Saccharomyces cerevisiae S288C: one gene and its partner. Changing the gene in region 1 together with any one later gene gives a genetic interaction. Each region holds a gene or a part of one and is shown on either strand. Other genes may lie near its edges.

What was found.
Region 2: mutations in BSC6 (region 1) and OTU2 together harm fitness more than expected from each alone (negative genetic interaction), as found in Saccharomyces cerevisiae (one large-scale study listed by BioGRID).

Annotation. Positions count from the first base shown.
Region 1 is NC_001147.6:59,816-70,014, reverse strand, and holds BSC6 (Bsc6p), read right to left. Parts: upstream 4,395-10,199; coding exon 2,901-4,394; downstream 1-2,900. Other genes in the region: mediator complex subunit MED7, read left to right, coding at 1-639; PFK27 (6-phosphofructo-2-kinase), read left to right, coding at 1,261-2,454; RTC1 (Rtc1p), read left to right, coding at 4,665-8,690; CDC33 (translation initiation factor eIF4E), read left to right, coding at 8,991-9,632; ARG8 (acetylornithine transaminase), read right to left, coding at 9,985-10,199. UniProt on the Saccharomyces cerevisiae protein: Probable transporter.
Region 2 is NC_001140.6:70,689-80,294, forward strand, and holds OTU2 (deubiquitinase OTU2), read right to left. Parts: upstream 7,666-9,606; coding exon 6,742-7,665; downstream 1-6,741. Other genes in the region: YHL017W (uncharacterized protein), read left to right, coding at 1-1,186; DUR3 (Dur3p), read right to left, coding at 1,349-3,556; YHL015W-A (uncharacterized protein), read left to right, coding at 4,011-4,094; 40S ribosomal protein uS10 RPS20, read left to right, coding at 4,724-5,089; YLF2 (Ylf2p), read right to left, coding at 5,409-6,626; YHL012W (UTP--glucose-1-phosphate uridylyltransferase), read left to right, coding at 8,248-9,606.

The DNA of each region.
Region 1 (10,199 bases):
TCCTTGTACCCACCTCCACCCCCATACGTGAAGTTTTTCACACAGTCCAATCTGGAAAAATTACCAAAATACAAAGAAAAGAAGGCCGCAAGTGCGAAGCAGACGGCTCCAAATAACAGTAACGGCGGCAGTGAAGAGGAGATTACATGTGCGCTAGATTACCTAATCCCACCCCCCATGCCCAAAAATCAGCAGTACCGAGCGTTTGGGAGTATATGGCAGGTGAAGGACCAACTGCCCGATTTAGAGAGCATGGGACTCACCCAACTTTATAAGAAATCCACAGAAAACGAAAGCACAAATTATCAATACAAAATCCAAGAGCTACGCAAACTATTGAAATCCCTCCTGCTAAATTACTTGGAACTCATCGGCGTATTGAGCATAAATCCGGATATGTATGAGCGCAAAGTGGAGAACATAAGGACCATTCTTGTCAATATTCACCACCTACTTAATGAGTACAGACCCCATCAGTCCCGAGAGTCCCTTATTATGCTATTGGAAGAACAATTAGAATACAAGCGCGGGGAAATTCGCGAGATCGAGCAAGTATGCAAACAGGTACACGACAAACTCACCAGCATACAGGACACCTTAAGAACCGGATCACAATCTCCTCCATCGTCGTCCCAATGACCACACTATTATAAATCATTTGTGTAACTATATACATTTTCAACTACCGTATAGCGTATAGTAGGCACGTGGTAGTCCACCCGTACACCTCCCTCGGAACGGAAAAATACGAACTATAGCTTATCGGAATATATACCAAAAATTAATTGACGTATTTCCGAGATTCCAGGCACAAGTGCCCCACCTTTTCACAGAAATCGCGCACAGATGAGTCTGCAACGGAAATTGTTTTCCTTTTTTTTCTTTTTCTTCTCTGGGCATCTGAATCGATTGATAATGAAAAAAAAGTAGAAAAAGTAAATTGGATTACTCGGTTTTTCGTGTGGAAGATTGGCTTATATAAAAGAAGACGTGCTCTAAACAAAGGTGTTTTCGCTTATTTTGGTGCCACAGCAAACCAACTTATTTGCTTTTTTAGAGGGTGTTAAAAAGTCTGATACGCTCATATACGAGTAACACTAAACCGGAAATACTAGGAGAGCCCAGTACTTATACTTCTTATTTGGCTTCAAGTTCCACTGCCCTCGAAACAAATTACCTTACGCGATTTTTAATATTTTAGATATAAGGAAAAGGAAGAAAAGGGATAACGAACGCGTTTTTTCCGCTGGAAGTTTGAAAATGGGTGGTTCTTCCGATTCAGACTCTCACGATGGATATTTGACTTCCGAATATAATTCCTCGAATTCTCTTTTTTCACTTAACACCGGTAACAGCTATTCAAGCGCATCTCTCGACAGAGCCACTTTAGATTGTCAAGATTCTGTTTTTTTCGATAATCACAAAAGTTCACTGCTGTCTACAGAGGTCCCAAGGTTTATTTCTAACGACCCGTTACACTTACCCATTACACTGAATTACAAAAGAGACAATGCAGACCCTACGTATACAAATGGAAAAGTTAACAAGTTTATGATTGTTTTGATTGGGCTACCAGCTACTGGGAAGTCTACCATTTCTTCTCATTTAATTCAATGTTTGAAGAACAATCCGCTAACTAATTCATTACGCTGTAAAGTTTTTAATGCTGGTAAGATAAGAAGGCAAATCAGTTGTGCTACCATTTCAAAGCCTTTGCTTTTGTCGAATACATCTTCGGAAGACTTATTTAATCCGAAAAATAACGATAAAAAGGAAACGTATGCCAGGATCACTTTGCAAAAGTTGTTTCACGAAATCAACAACGATGAATGTGACGTGGGAATCTTCGACGCCACAAATTCGACCATCGAAAGAAGAAGATTTATATTTGAGGAGGTTTGTTCGTTCAATACAGATGAGCTTTCTAGTTTCAATTTGGTGCCCATAATCTTACAGGTGTCATGTTTTAACAGAAGCTTTATCAAATACAATATCCACAATAAATCGTTTAATGAAGACTACTTAGACAAACCTTATGAACTTGCCATCAAAGATTTTGCAAAGAGATTAAAACATTACTATTCGCAGTTTACACCTTTCTCCCTTGATGAGTTCAATCAAATCCATCGATATATCAGCCAACATGAAGAAATCGATACGAGCTTATTTTTCTTCAATGTTATTAATGCGGGCGTCGTTGAGCCACATTCTTTAAATCAAAGTCATTACCCTTCAACCTGCGGCAAGCAAATTAGGGACACCATTATGGTTATTGAAAATTTCATCAATCACTATTCTCAGATGTTTGGTTTTGAATACATCGAAGCTGTTAAATTGTTTTTTGAAAGTTTTGGAAATAGCTCAGAGGAAACTTTAACTACACTAGACTCTGTTGTTAATGATAAATTTTTTGATGATTTGCAGAGCCTAATTGAAAGCAACGGATTTGCTTGACTGATACTTTACCATACGGGAGTTGAATATCGGTACTCCTTTATTATATTTATGATCCTCTCCAGAACTCCATCTACCTCCCGCCTTTTAATGACCATTTTTACGACCTTTTCGCATGTTTTTCTATTCTTTTACAGTTTCCTTGGTACCGCTAGTTACATTATGTTATCTTGAAAAGGCTACTATACACTTTTTTTGCACTACTGAAGCAGCTTTCAAAAGCTCTTTATAGACTTCAGATAGTATTACTTTTTCCTTAAAATTCTATCTATTTGTAAACGACCAAGAGTGTCATTATGTATACTATATATCAAAAAGTTCCATATGTTGTCTGAAGTTCCTTTTATCTTCCGCCTTTCTATCTTTCTGTTACAATTATTCAACAGCTTTATTTTTCTAATTTTGGAATTAGTTGCAATGCACTGGCACCGATGGCGTTTCTGAAACTAAAAATATTCTTCATGCCCTTTTATGAATTTAGGATACAATGTCCATTCCAATGTAAATAACGCAACCATAATCCAACACAATAGTGGGATATACTGGATTCCCACTGTGTGTGCAATAACTCCAGCCAAATATGGAATGGCTGCACCACCACAACCACCAACGGCGACGGCAACCCCAACCCCGCTCACATGTAGTCTTTTGGGCAATACTTGTAATGCAACTATACTTGCGTTTGGGAATAATGGTCCGATAAACGTACCACAACAAAAAACAACAAAAAATAACACGACGAAATAGAAAACTGAGCTTGAATTGATCAACCCAACAAGCACAAATAAGGTGTATGAAGATAGAGTTAAAAAAGCGTACGCTTTGCTTGCTTTATACTCGTTTTCGAAGAATCTTTCAGTAACAAATCCTAGACACAACCTGCCTACAGTCAAACCTGTCCAAAACGATGCCGCTATGTATGACATAGCAACCTTATTACTTGATTTAGTTTCCAATAAATAACTAAAGAACCATGAACCAGTTGTAATTTCAGCACCTAAGTAAAGGAACAAATACAATGAGTACAAGAAAATAGCAGGATTTCTTAAAAGTTCAAAAAATCCTGGGCTCGCCTTGGTAGATTCCATCAGCGAGTTATCACCCGCTTCTTCCACATCATTGTTGCTTTCTTTGTTTTCCACAGAGCAGAGGTAGTCGTATTTACTTGCAGTTTCAAATTTAAAAGCTGGGAAGATTACAATCATGCCTATTATAGAAAAGAACAGAGGAATAAGGAAAAAAAGAGACCAATGACCCCATTCAACAAAATATGAAACTAAGGGAGGAGTAACCATAGCTGCTGCCCCGTAAAGACCATGCATGATACCCATGAGTTCATTCTTATGGACTAAAAGACTGCCCATTAAAACATTACCGGTAGAATCTAAGATGCCGATCCCTAAACCAAGAGGAAGGCCACAAAACATACAAACATAGAAACTAGAAGGTGCAGTTGCTAAAATGATAAGAAATACTATACACAAACCAGCTGCTAGAAGCATACCACCTCTCATACCAAAGTGCTTATTCAATCTCTCTTTTGATAAAGACGCCATCACATAACCACATAATTGGACTATAAATACGTTTGAGACATCTACCCGCGATATATGATAGTATTCAATTAGCGTAGGAAGTAGTGCACCTACTGTTTGATCGTTCATACCAAAGACTACGAACATAATCAAGCATGCTATCACCTGCAGCTTTACTAGTGGTACAGTTTGATAGTTTAGTGGATATGTTTTAACTTTCTCGCCCTGCCAGTCAATTTCTTTGATTAAGTTTGTATTGTTAGGTAGACTATCTTCATCTTGAGAATTTCTTCTGGAGTCTGATGATGATAGCAGATTTTTCAACTCTATTGGGTTATGATGTGAAATTTCAGTTGTATACATTCCATAATCATCTACCTTTGGTGGAACCGAGGAAGCATCCATGCTGAAAACTTATATATGGATTAAATTATACTATGAATCCCTAGGATCTTATTCTTGGTTTCTTACTATAGCATTTTAGAATACTGTTGAATGTCTAGCTATGCATGATCGGAGAGTTTAAATTTTTCTGTCTCGGAACGTTCTTTTTAATTTGTCAAAAACATCGATATATAACGATGATTACTGAAAAAGGAAAACCGATTGATAATACATATGGTGCGATTGCTGGCTGAAGGCGAGTGAGCTATTGAGTGGATTTAGTTGAAAATCATGAGCTTATCACCACACGTAGAAAATGCTTCCATTCCCAAGGGGAGTACCCCGATACCAAAAAACAGAAACGTTAGTTCTATAGGCAAGGGCGAGTTTCTTGGATCTTCGTCAAGCAACAATTCTTCTTTTCGAATGAATCATTACTCAAATAGTGGACAACCTTCCGTGTTAGATTCTATACGGCGACCTAATCTAACTCCAACTTTTTCTTACAGTAATGGGGTTTATATGCCTGAAAGTCACAGAACTAGTTCATTCAACGATAGTTATTTGCCATATGATAAGAATCCTTACGCAAAAACAACCGGAAGCATGAGCAATAAATCGAACATGAAAATCAAAACAAAGAAAAATGCAATCAACACAAATACAAGAAAGTCGTCTGGACTCATTTACACCACCAAAGTGGATAAAGAATTATCTAGTATAGACAAAGTGAATGATCCAAACATTAACGGTCTTGTTTGTGCAGGTAAAACTCATTTGGGGCTCTATAAATTCTCGCCCTCAGATAGATCTATCAAATGCGTTCATGATTTCATAACACCTAATAGCAACACCTCAACAAGGGGAACGACATCCCTTTTGCCCAAGCTGAGCAAAAGAACAAGACAGAACAAATTTAGTACCATTGCGGATGTTAAGACTGGATTTAATAATTACAAGAACTGTATTGCAGTGTGCAACAATTCTACGGCGATATCGATATATGATCTCAATAAGAGTTCCTCGATAGACAATCCCTTGATAACATCCTTATGCGAACACACTAGATCTATCAATAGTTTTGACTTCAACATGGTCGAATCAAACCTAATAATAAGTGGTGGACAAGATAGTTGTGTAAAAATATGGGATTTACGTTCCAATAAATCTAAAAGCTCAAATAGATCTGACATTAGTATAAATACCGCATCTGACTCAATCAGAGATGTAAAATGGATGCCCGGTTACAATTTTGCATCTAAGAACGATCAAGGTTCATCAACGTATGGTAATTTAAAAAGCGGTTACAAATTTGCTTCTATTCACGATTCGGGATACTTGCTAAAGTTTGATCTTCGACAACCTGCCCAATACGAAAAAAAATTAAATGCTCACACAGGACCCGGTCTTTGTTTAAATTGGCATCCCAATCAAGAATACATTGCTACAGGTGGTAGAGACGGTAAATGCTGCCTCTGGTTTGTTGGCGACAATGCCAATGCCGCCGAAAATACAGTCCTCAATTACGGGAACTCTCCCTCGTTACATGCCCCCAATACGTCCTTGAACAATAGCGGCTCGCTGGCATTTCCCAAACTAACAATTAATACGGGCTATCCAGTCACTAAATTGAAGTTCAAGCCTGCTTATAGTAGTAATATATATAATTCATTACTAGGAATATCGTCAATGGGTGACGAAGCTGAAGTTCGCATCTATTCCTTGGCAAGAAAGTACATTCCAAAACATGTTCTCCTATCAGAAACGCCTTCTTTAGGATTAGTATGGTGGGACGAAAACTTGATCTTTAATATCGATAAGGGGACCCGTATAAATGGCTGGGACATTAACAAAGAACCAACAGTGCTCGAAAATTTGAGCAAAAATACAACAACTTGGAGAGATTTGGATGGTAACGGTTTACTTTCAGTTGACCAAGAGATAGGCTCATATGAGGTGGTAGAACCGGAGCTTCAACCTACCTCAAGTACCACATGCAAGAAGCATCCAGGTACAATAAAAAACCCGAAGAATGGCAATCCAGAGAACCAGGGAATAATTGGAGGGATAAAAAAAGGATTTAGCCATACTGGATTAACAAGTTTTACGCCAGAGAGGCCGCCTACTTTAAAAGCAGGCCCAACGTTTAGCACAAAAAGCTTAACATTAGCATCTGGAGCATCTTCTTTTAACAGCTCTTCCGCATCATTGACATCCCTGACGCCACAAACTGAAAATAGAGAAGAAATCGCCATTGAACCGCCTTGTATCATCACTTTGGATATACCGCAGATCTTCAATAACATAAGATTAACCAAAATCGCACATTCAAGAAAAAAGAACGTCATTTCCGAAAGTTCTTCTATGAAAAATTCTCCAGTAGAAAAGTTCAAATATTTGGCGAGACAGCTCAAGTTTTCGTATATTCGAGAGCATAATGTTTCAGACAGTGCAGACACTGCATATAAAAATGATATAGAGAACATTGACGTCGTTAAAAACGCAACCGAAACACATGGTGATAATACTACTACTACCAATAATAATGATGATGGTGATGATGATGATGATGATGATGATGATGACAAAATAATCGAAAGTCACCTTTTGAAAAAATACAATTTTCCAGAAAATAATACATGGGCTACCTTAATGAATGAAAAAGTAAATAACAAAAAATCCAAAAGAAATTCCAGTAGTTCGAGGGAGTTTGACGAGAAGGATGTCAGATCAAGTATATCTTCCATTTCTGCAAGTAGGCAAAGTCATGACAGAGCTAGGAAGATCGACAAGAACGTGGAAGCAGAACTGCAAGAAAAAATACAAACACTGGTAGATTTGATATCTATTGCAACGCATAACGCATCTGTTTATCTATCCATAGATGATCTAACCAACTTCAAAATCTGGATCTTGATAAGAGATTCATTGTTATGGGACTTGAAGTGGATGACCTCCTCCCAAATTTCATCAGATAACGCATCTAATATGGATGCCAATGAAAGCTCCGATTTCGAAGCTGGAGAAAATCTGAAAACAGGAAAAGAGTTCCCAGAGGAGGATGGTGCAGGGACAAGTGGGGCTGAGTCGTTAGTTGAAGAAAGGCCGCAGGCATTTCGTGCTAACTCTGATGAACCAAGTGATGCCGAAAAGAAACCTGTTTCTAAGCTCAAAGAGCAGCTCAAAAACACGGAAATAATCCCCTATGCGCAGCCAAATGAGGATTCAGATGAAGTTTTAACTAAGCTAAAAGAGCTACAGAACCAACGCTTGGAGTCAAGGACTAAAATGGGAGAAACAGTGAGTGACGATGTGATTATAGAGGAAGACGAACATGAACATCAAGAAGAAGAACAGCCTCATGACTCACCGACTAAGTCAGCACAATTTCACGCGTCTCCTATCGCGAAAAGTATACCAATATTGCAGAAACGTGAGCACCGCAAGTCATTCATAGATACTTTCATGTTGCATTCTCCCAACGGTTACAATGGAGATACGGACATAGGTAACGAAGATGACAATATATCTCCTAGGTTTACTTACAACAGCGTAAGCCCACGCAGTAAGGTTTCGTCGCTACAAAGCTATGCCACAACAACCTCGCAACTAGAAACTTTTAAAAAGCTTTCTTCCCATACAGCACCAATAATCGGATCGCCCAGACATGCGCCATCACGGCCAGATAGCATTGGTAGGGAACAACTGTCTTCTTCATTGACGAAAAAGCTTGCCAAATGCAAGAAAATTATCGCTGACCCACCCTGGGACACGAAAAAACTCATCAAACAACTCTACAATCAAGCTACTGAGACTGGGAACGTCGTATTGACGGTGAATATTTTATTTCTTTTCCAAACGATATACCAAATAACAGAAATCGACATTGCAAAGGACGCAATCGCTCACTTCTTGTTATTATTACATCGATACGAACTCTTCGGCATTGCTGCAGACGTCTTAAAATACTGCCCATTCGAAGATATCATGGGTTCTGAGGGTGACCAATCTTCCATTCGGTTGTTTTGCGAACGCTGTGGTGAGTTAATCACTAACGAAAGTTCTAAAGAAAAGCTCAGAGCGGAAGCTCAGCAGACGGGCAATAAGAAGATCATGGACAAGTTTGGATACTGGTATTGTGACTCTTGTAAGAAGAAGAATACATCTTGTGTTCTATGTGAAAGACCATTAAAGAAACTGACCATGGTCATCCTCCCCTGTGGACACGAAGGTCACTTCCAGTGCATACAAGAATGGTTTCTCGATGAGAATGAACAAGAATGTCCCGGCGGTTGCCCCGGTGTTGCATTCATCTAGGTTCTCCACATAATGTATAGTTTAACATATCATCACCATTGTTTAGTTAAATCGTTTAGAGTAATATTACCCGTCAAAAAGGTCGGGTAAAATTTTATTACCCTCTCCGAAAAGAAAATTTTTTTCGTCGTCAATAGAGTTTAATGCAATACCTGATAAAGAGAGTTTTACATTGCAAGAGGTAGTGTTAATTCTGGATTTATATTGTACATATGTGTTTGTGTTAGTGCTTGAGTACTTCCTAGGAGTTTTACGAAAAATAAAAGCATTTTTGTCTGAAAACTAGTGAAAGGAAGAAAAATGTCCGTTGAAGAAGTTAGCAAGAAGTTTGAAGAAAACGTTTCAGTCGATGATACCACAGCTACTCCAAAGACTGTTTTAAGTGACAGTGCTCACTTCGATGTCAAGCACCCATTGAACACCAAATGGACTTTATGGTACACAAAGCCAGCCGTCGATAAATCTGAGTCGTGGTCTGATCTATTACGTCCCGTCACTTCATTCCAAACTGTTGAAGAATTTTGGGCTATCATTCAAAATATTCCTGAGCCACACGAACTACCATTGAAATCAGATTACCACGTCTTCCGTAATGACGTTAGACCTGAATGGGAAGATGAAGCCAATGCTAAAGGTGGTAAATGGTCTTTCCAACTTAGAGGAAAAGGTGCTGATATTGATGAATTATGGCTAAGAACTTTACTAGCAGTTATTGGTGAAACAATTGATGAAGACGACTCCCAAATTAACGGTGTCGTTTTAAGCATTAGAAAAGGTGGTAACAAGTTTGCCTTATGGACTAAATCTGAAGACAAAGAACCACTATTGAGAATTGGTGGTAAATTCAAGCAAGTTTTAAAATTAACCGATGACGGGCATTTGGAATTCTTTCCACATTCCAGTGCCAATGGTAGACACCCTCAACCATCAATCACCTTGTAAGATAGTCTGAATTTTTCTTAAGATAATTGTTATTTTAATCAAAATTATATATATAATCATAATATAATATATATACATTCTACTAGTTAGGATGCACGTATAAACTCATCATGTTAACACAGAAGGAAAAGTCAAAATGAAGGAGAAAAAAAAAAAAAAAAAAAAAAAAGAGAGGATGACGTTAAAAGGACAACTCTTATTAATTATATCATTCAAGGTATGAAAGACGCACCACATGTACATATCACGTAAGATGTTCCTATGTGTCTCTGACCGAATGGCATTTTTTATACTACAATATAAAGATGAAAAAAAAAAAAACAATCTATACATGACAATTTACAAAGTATATTTAAGCGTAAACCGCTTCAATAGCCTTTTCAAAAGCATCCATCCCTTCTTCGATTAGTTCGTCTTCAATCGTTAATGCGGGAACAAATCTAACGGTACTCTTACCAGCGGTAATGATCAAAAGTCCCAATTCTCTGGCCTTTTTGATGACCTCGGTGGGTGGTTCGACGAACTCAGCACCAAGCATCAAACCTTTTCCTCTGATAGTCTTTATTT
Region 2 (9,606 bases), on another chromosome or scaffold:
TCAACAAGAATTGGGCACTAACGACAAGGTATACTCAATTAACAAAACTGGTTACTATTGTGTGACCACGTCATCTTTCATTTCTTCCAGTTCCAAGTTTAAGGCTACAGTGAATTTTAGGAACGCTTACGGTCAATTGGACGCTTCAGAGGCGTACAAGATGCCTATTTATGCCTTTTTGGCCGTCGCTTATGCCGTCTGTACATTAGTGTACTCTTGGCTATGCTGGAAGCATAGACATGAGTTACTGCCTTTACAAAGGTACATTTTGGTATTTTGTATTTTCCTAACAGCTGATACTATTTTCGTCTGGATGTACTATATTATTGAGAACCAGAAGGGAAACTCCAGCGTCGCTCTTCATGTCTATATGGTTTTCATATCGATCTTTAGCGCCGGTAAGATGACTTTCACGCTTCTCCTCGCCTTGCTGATATCTCTTGGATATGGTATAGTATATCCAAAACTGGACCGTACATTGCTAAGAAGATGTCAAATATTTGCGATATTTACGTTTGCAGTGTGCGTTGCATTCCTGGTCCAAAAATATTCCCAGAATTCTGAGTCTTTATCCAATTTGATTTTGATTACTGCTATCCCCTTAGTATTATGTCTATTCGCTTTCTATTATTTGACACTGTCTTCAATGAACAAAACAATGACTTATTTGAGGGAACAAAACCAAGTGGTGAAATTAAACATGTACAGAAAACTGATCATATTGTGTTATATTTCGTTGTTTATACTCTTCTTAGGCTTACTAGTCTCTACTTTTGCATACGTCGGTATGGACACTGTTGACATGATAGAACAATATTGGAAAACAGAATTCCTCATCACAGATACTTGGCCTAGTTTCGTTTACTTCTTGGTCTTCGTCATTTTCGCATTCTTCTGGAGACCTACAAGTACATCATATTTACTAGCGTGCTCGCATCAATTACCAACTGACATGGAAAATGTATCAGAATTCGATTTAGATGACATAAATTCCTTGTCTGATGAGGCATTGCCTAATAGAGAGCCACGTAATGACTACCAGGAACACGATCACAATATGGATATTGATTTAGCATCCGATTTTGAAGAAGTGCCAAGTGTAAATGCAAATACGAACGCAAATAATGACGTATTGTTCGACGTAGATTACGACAGAGATGCAAAAAATGATAGAAGTACTACATAAACGGACCAAATAACATAAATTTAGAAATTTCCTTTTTTTTTTTTTTTTCCCCTTGACTTTCTTTTCTTTTATGTACCTATAATGAAAGACTATTTTATAATTAGAGCTATTTAAAAATTATTAATGAGGTTGATGAGTGGATAGAATATTATATTTTGAAAGCTAAATTATTTCATCAACTTGTCCGAAATGTGATGATTGTCTATGTGCTCTCGCACTAATTTGGCTTGTTACTACATGCAGATCTTGTGGGTTCGAATTTTGCCATTCCCTTAATTTATAAGTTTGACCAGATAGATCCCAGTAAAGGCCTCGCAAAGTGGTATATATACCATGCCTACCTTCCCAGAGTGGATAAATACAAACGGCAAACGCACTGAAAAAAAGCCAGATGATCATCACAACAACCCAACCGGTAAAGAATTTTTTACTGAAGATATATTTGGAACCATACATGGGCATGGGCCAAACTACCAAAAATGCCAAAGCGAAAAAAACACATAGGAAGTATGCAATTTTTAAACCACGTGCTAGTTCTCTTTGTTCTTCGTCTAATTCATTTTGTAACTGTGTGTCATCTTCTTGAAAAATGGCATTACTTATTACAACACCAAGGTTAGGCTCAATCAATTTTTCATTATTTACTCTAACATCGTTTTTTTCACTATCTGAGACCAGAGAATTTGTTTCTTCTTCTTGTTCCTTATCGTTAGCTTCAGCATCGTAAAGCTGGATATCAGGGTCAGCCTGAACTAACTCTGCAGTTTCGTCAACTCTAGTAATATCTTTCATTTTCTCCCAGTCAAAATTTTGTGGCTTAAACACATACGTTAAAATAGGAATAAAAATGGCTGGTGATAGCAAAGCCACCAAGTTACCTGTTAACATTGGATAATCCATGAACGTAGTATCCACGGTCAATTCTTTATAAAGGGATTTGGTACAGACAAGCCATGACATTATAGCCAGTCCTGTGCCCAAAATAGGCGACACTACAGCGGCCACCAAATTCATGTCTTTGGAACATAAGGTCAAAACGACAGGTAATACTGCACTACTAATAATTATACCCATCATTTCATAGATATAACCCATAGAAATACCACCATAGTATAAACCAACCGAAAATCCACTCATGGCAAGACCAAAAAAGATACAAGCAACGTGTGATGTGTAAATCAATTTCTTACCGCTTGCACGAGGATCAATATATTCTCTATAGATATCGTAAGTGAAAACAGATGAAACGGCAATTAGTTCAGCAGACATAGCAGATGTGACGGCCATGAAAATCATTAGCAGCGATGCCACAGCACCCCCCTTACCCATGATAGCAATTGCAGCTGCCGGCAAGACTAACCCAGAATTTGCCTGGAACGAAGTAAGTGGATCAGGATAGGTGGGGAAGTTCGGAGACGTTTCCACCGCAAGACATGCTAATCCCATGGTCAATGAAATCAAAGAAGGTACTGCAAACCATGCTAACCCACCGATGGCATATGCTTTCAAACTCGCTGCGGGACTAGCAGAAATCGCTTTATTCCAATAACCATTATCAAGGAAAACGGTGCCGAAATTTCCAATCAGGTTAATAATTAATAAAATACCAGCGGATTTGGATGTCATGGTCATATATTCACCCTGATAGTTACCGTCTACTGGATGCCTCTTGGCGGCTTCACGAACTAAGTCATAAACTTTTCCCGGTGAGCCTAAAACATCACTAGTCGCATAAACTTTAAAGGCAAATACGAGGACAATGATGATAATGACACATGTGTGCATATAGTCCGTTAAGAAAGTTGCTTTAATCCCACCAAATAGAGTATAAACAACAACACCCACAGGCAGTAAAAAACATGATGCGATAGTGTTCATCCCGGTTAAATCACTAAAGACAGCAGAACCTGAAGTTAAAAGCATTGAAGTGACTAAAATATTCGTCGCGATGGCATAAAACAAGTAGCAACCATGGCCGATCTTACCATATCTTGTTCTCACTAATTCTAAATATGTGTGCGCATTGGGAGCCATTTGCTTGGTTTTAATTGCCAAAATTGCGAATGCAATAATTTGGAAGCATGCGCCAGCAGCGTACGCATAACCGCCAAATATACCGTCTGCATATTCCTTTGTTGACGACGTTAACAATGTAGAACACCAGATCCAACTAGAAACCACGGCTGCAGCCACTAAGCCGGTTTTTACAGATCTACCGGCGGTGGTGAATTCTTCTGCTGTGATGATTTCCTTTTGATAACGTTTCAGTAAATAAGTGGTCAAAACCATCATTCCTGCAAATACGGCCCCTAGGCCCAATACAATAGCGTACCCAGCGCCTTGAGGTAGCGGAGGTTTAAATTCTCCCATACTATAACAATGACAAATTTATGTTATTACTTTTTCTTGGATGAACCCAATTTAAGAATCTAGACAAGGGAAACTGCTAACAATAGTAAAGCTACGGCTATACTACTGCTTCATTTTATATACTTGGCGAACAAGACGTATCTTCATGCAACACCGATGAATAGAGCACATCTTGCCTGTTATCTAAGGATAACCGTACCGTAGAAAGCGCAATGATGAGTTACACCTTTCCCATAGGTACGCCTGCTTGTTTCTATGCTGCAACTGACTATTGGCCTGTCCACTCTCGAGCATTATTGTCTGTCGCATTTGCTATCATAAAATATCCCGATAAGATAACACCCAAATGTGCGCCGCCTCATTTCATCATCGGAAAAAAGGTGCGGCACCAATAGATAAACAGAATTGGAATGCCTAGTTTGAGTCAGCCTTGCTGCATAAAACAAATACCTGTATGACTGCTTTTGCATCTTTAAGAGAACCTTTGGTCTTGGCTAATCTCAAAATTAAAGTTCATATCTACCGTATGAAGCGCTGATAAAGAGCGCCAAATCTGCACCTTGTGCATTTTGTTCACACATTCTTGGCGCTCCTAACTGGAGAAACGTCTATCATTGAGGATAACTCCGGATAGTCGCATTCTGATTGAATAGCCGTCTAGCTCCCTATTGTGACTAGAATACTATTGACATCGTTTTCTCATCAAAACCTCCCGATAAAGGGAAAAAAAGAATTATCTGACCAGATCATTCGGAAAAATGCGTATCGTCATTGATATCCTTCTTGTCTTGTCTGCTGCTAACACTATTTACTATGGAAAGAGAGATTTCCCTGAAACTTCTTATTTTTATCTCTATAGAAGGGGAAAAGATAAAAGTAAAAATGTAAAAATGTTTACCTGCAAGTTCACACCTGTACATTTTCTACATCCGTAAACATAAGAGAAAAAATGCCACAACTATTTTTATGAAGATAAAGTTCGGGTAACGATAATGTTTTAATTTTGAAAAAAAAACTTCGACGCATTCGCGACTAGCCTCAGAGATTGAGTAATAGACCGTATTGAATTCAAAATAATAGTAAAGATGGGTTATTTCATTCAAGCTCAGCTTTAGATTGAAACTCCTACAAGAAAGCAAGTAAAATAAACAAAAAGGTATATACAAAATGTCTGACTTTCAAAAGGAAAAGGTTGAAGAACAAGAACAACAACAACAACAAATCATCAAGATTAGAATCACTTTGACCTCCACCAAGGTTAAGCAATTGGAAAACGTCTCTTCCAACATTGTCAAGAACGCTGAACAACACAACTTGGTCAAGAAGGGTCCAGTCAGACTACCAACCAAGGTTTTGAAGATCTCCACCAGAAAGACTCCAAATGGTGAAGGTTCTAAGACTTGGGAAACCTACGAAATGAGAATCCACAAGAGATACATCGACTTGGAAGCTCCTGTTCAAATCGTTAAGAGAATCACTCAAATCACCATTGAACCTGGTGTGGATGTCGAAGTTGTTGTTGCTTCCAACTAAGCTGGTTCTAACTGGAAATAATTTCCATTAGATTCCTCTTTTTCTCGTCCATTAACCAAAATATATTATTGAATTCAGCGGTTCCTTTTTTCTCATTTTCGCATATAGCTGCACTATTAGAATCAGCCCACTCTAGGTAAACACAGTTCCTCGATATACCTCTGTCTTACTATCAGTGGTTAAACCTTATGCAAATATAATATATATATATATATATATATATATATCTCATACTTTTGTTGATTCTTGTGTAATTATTGGAAAAGACAAAACAAAGCAAGCGTTTCTATTCATATTTACAAGTATTTTTTATGACAAACTATTTCTTAATTTTCCCACCGGCGGCTTTGAATAAGGCAATGTCATTGTCCTGCATAATATATTGTTTGCCTGCACGTTTGATAAGTCCCTTAGATTTTAGTAAAGACTCATTTAGCGGTGGTTCCATCTTCTTCAGATCGTCATATTTTATTACATCAGCGCTGATAAATGTTTCACGCAAGTCGCTATGGATTACACCCGCGGCCTCTTGAGCGGTGGTTCCCTCCCTTATATTCCATTGGTGAACTTCTTGTGGGCCGCATGTAAAGAAGCTAATTAAGTTCAACAACTTTCTCATTTCTAGTATTATTTGCGGTATCGCAGAAACTAACTGTTGATCAGAAACATTGGTATCTTCCTTGATCTTGTCAAAATACTCTGACGCTATGCCTTTACATTCCATCAATTGCGATTCAAATTCTGCACTGAAAAGTAGGAATTTATCTCCTGGCGAAAATTCGTTAATCCATTCTATAATATTTCTGACAAATTTATTTTCATTCCTAACGTAATCTTGAGGTGAAACATTTAGCAATATCAAAGTTGGTTTGGAGGTTAAAAAGTTATGCTTATTCAAAATTTTGACTTCATCCAGGTTCCAATGATCTTTGAAATGCCGGATTTTTTTACCGTTAAACAAATGTTCCTCTAATGCATCTAATAATTCTGTCTCTATCTTCATTTCCTGATGTTCTTTAGAATTCTTCGAAACCATTCTCATCTTCTTACTAAGTCTTTCCCTAATGTTTTCCAGAAATTCTAAGTCTTTCAAGATGAGTTCATCTTGTACCACGGATAGATCTCTGACAGGATCAACATTACCTTCTATATGGGTGATGTCTTCCTTTAAGAATCCTCTCACCACTTGAAATATCCCCTCTACGTGTCTGATATCGTTTAAGAACTTGTTACCCAAACCATGGCCTTGAGATGCGCCTCTGGTGAGCCCAGCAATATCATATATTGTGAGTGTTCCAGGTACGCATTTCGCACTCTGATATATTCTCAATAAATTAGAGAGCGGCACGCTAGGTATATTGACTTTGGCACATTCTGCGTCAATGGTAGCGAATGGATAATTTGCAGGATTTCCCAATTTTGAGTTTGTTATTGCTTGGAAAAAAGTCGATTTACCAACATTAGCAAGCCCTACTATCCCTGAAGTTGGATTATTCGATATCCTCCCAAGTAAAAATTTTCCTCCACCAATGTTCATATCCGATTATTACTTCTCTTTATTCTTTTATATCCATATGCTTCAAACTATACAATTAAATAGATGCATTAAGGTTTACAAATAAGCATATCTCATTAGATACGGATGGGAAAAATCAAGAATCATGCAATGAATTATAATGCTCACCTAATGCATAGCTGTGTTTATAGTAAACTAGCTTCAATTCAGGATTTTTCCCACATTCATTGTACACTTGAATAGGTCTTCCACTCATCAGAATGCTAATGGGGCAGTCGAAAACGTGAGAGAGAGCCAAAATCTCAATTTCACCACCCCATTGAGCTGTATGCTCCATCTCTTTCGTATACTCATCAATGTCTTTCATCTTCATAGTTTCTTCATCAAACAAATATGGAATGAAATCATCCCTGTGCTCCTGTACGTAATTACAACTCAACCATCTCAGCTTCATGACATCCATGTCTTGATCCAGTTTTTTTGGATCATGGCGTAATTTTAACTGATCTAATATAGATGCAAAGAGACAGTGGCCATCGGGTTGTATATCGAATTGTTTCAGTTTCTTCAACTCGCATAACTGATCTATAGACTCCTGCTCCATTTTTTTCAAGTCCGGTTGTTTGGATGCTTCTAAAGCAGCCTCTTCTTTCATTTTAGCAATTGCTGCATCTCTTTTGGCCAATCTTTCCTTTTGTCTATTGCGACGCTTCTTTGTCTGGCCTTGTTGCTGTTGTTGAACGGGAACATTCTGTTGTTCTTTCTCATCTCGAGATATGGATAGTTGTTCTAAAAGTTTTTCAGGAGTCACTTCATCTTCTTGTTCTGCGTCAAACACTTCATTATTTGCAATTTTCCAATCCCTTATTTCATTTTCTTGCTTAGTCTTTAGTTTATCTTGAAGATCTAGGCATTTCGAATTAACTTCTTTCCTTTTGGATTTAGTAGCCTGCTTTTTCATACCCGTTATCTTATTCTGTAAATCTTTATTTTCCTTGCGATGTCTCGCCAAAATATCTTCCATGTTTTCCAAATTCTCTCCTGATTCCATGCCGGTCATGATGAATATCTCTTGTTCTCTCTACTAGATTGAATGCTGTGCTTTAGTTGGATTTTGTATTAGATGCTTTCGAGATGCCCAAACTAAAAACAAGGCGTGAAGAAAAAGAAATTTCGCGACGCATAATAATACTTTCTTTGACAGGGCCAGGGCTGCCAACTTTTCAGATTTTAACAATTGAGAAATTTATTGTGGTAAGAAAACCATAAATTTCCACTCTGTTGGAATTAAAATTTCCTGTATTGAACGAGAGTAGAAGCACACAATTTTCTTGAAGAAAAAGTAGTTAGTCTTCCATAATGTTCAATGGCCTTATCACACAAAAAAAAAAGAATGAAAGTACTATCAGCTTATAAGTCCTGATTAATTAAAAAAAGAATGCAGGAATAGCACCTTATAGTAAAAAAAGTAAATTTAAGTAATTAAATATAACTATACTGTAACTTTTTTGAATTGTATTTTCCCTGGCATTTACAATCTTTTTGTAACCTGGAATTTAACGATAACTGACACAAGTGATTCTTGATAATAAAAAAAAAAAGGAAAAATATTTCACTGTTCTACATAGTATATACAAGATCAATGACGGTTTTCTCTGGAGTAAATAAAATAGAGTTTGAAGGTACTTTCGAAGGTATTGGAAAGGATGTTGTTATGTCACAAATGATAAGGGCCTTGCAGAAACATTTTCCTTCGATACGTGACAAGAATTATGAGTTTAGCCTATTTTTGCACATTTTTCAAAGATATGTCTTAGAAAATACTTCAATCACCCATGATCTAGTTTGTGACAAAATTAGATTACCGATAATTGATGAAGTGGTTGAACTCGATGATATTAAAAATTACGGTTTGTTAGAGGGTAAACTATTATCAAAGTTAGCTATTTTAAAATTAACCGGAAAGGCTAATCCAATCATTGGTAAAGAAAGCCCTTTATTCGAAGTAAAAAATGGGATGTCTTCATTGGATGTAATAGTTCGACAAACGCAAAATTTGAATGTACGATATAATTCAGACGTTCCTCTTATATTTATGACCTCGCTTGAAACTGAATCTCAAGTATCAAACTTCCTTGAAGAGCATTATTCTTCTAGCAAAGTGAGATGGAAAACCGTAGTTCAGTCAAGCTTTCCACAAATTGATAAAGATAGATTATTACCTATCGATTTACAAATAAATTCTCATGAAAATGATTTTTGGTATCCTTGCGGGACTGGTAACCTAACTGACACTTTGTATTTTTCAGGAGAATTGGACAAATTAATTGCTCAAGGAAAAGAGATTTTATTTGTTTCAAATGTTGACAATTTGGGCGCTACAGGAGATTTGAACATTTTAAATTTCATCATAAATGAAAAAATCGAGTATCTTGTTGAAGTAGTTGAAAGGACTGCAAATGTTTCAAACACTGGAGTGTTGGCAACATATAAAGGTAAACTACGATCGGTTTATTACAACTGCTTATCCAATGAAAGTGCAAGCACGTGTCGAATTGTCAACACTAATAACATTTGGATTGATTTGAAAAAGCTAAAGGTGCTAATAGAGTCTAATAGTTTAAATTTGCCAATTCATTCTAGTGAAAGTAAAATAACACACAAAAATGAAGAGATAGAGTGTCTTCAATTTAAGACACAGTTGGTCGATTGTATTGCCTTCTTTCCGAACAGTCGAGTATTGAAAGTATCAAGAGACAGATTTTTACCCCTAAGAACATGTAAGGACTTGTTTTTGTTGAAATCAACATTATATGATCTCGATTCAAATGGAACATTTAACCTCTACCCTCTGAAATTTGGATTATTACCTTCAATCGACTTGGGCGATGAGTTTGCAACTTATGAGACTTTTAAGATAGGAGTACCAGATATTCCTAATATTCTGGAATTAGAGCATTTAACTGTGATGGGAAATGTGTTTTTTGGTCGTAATATAACT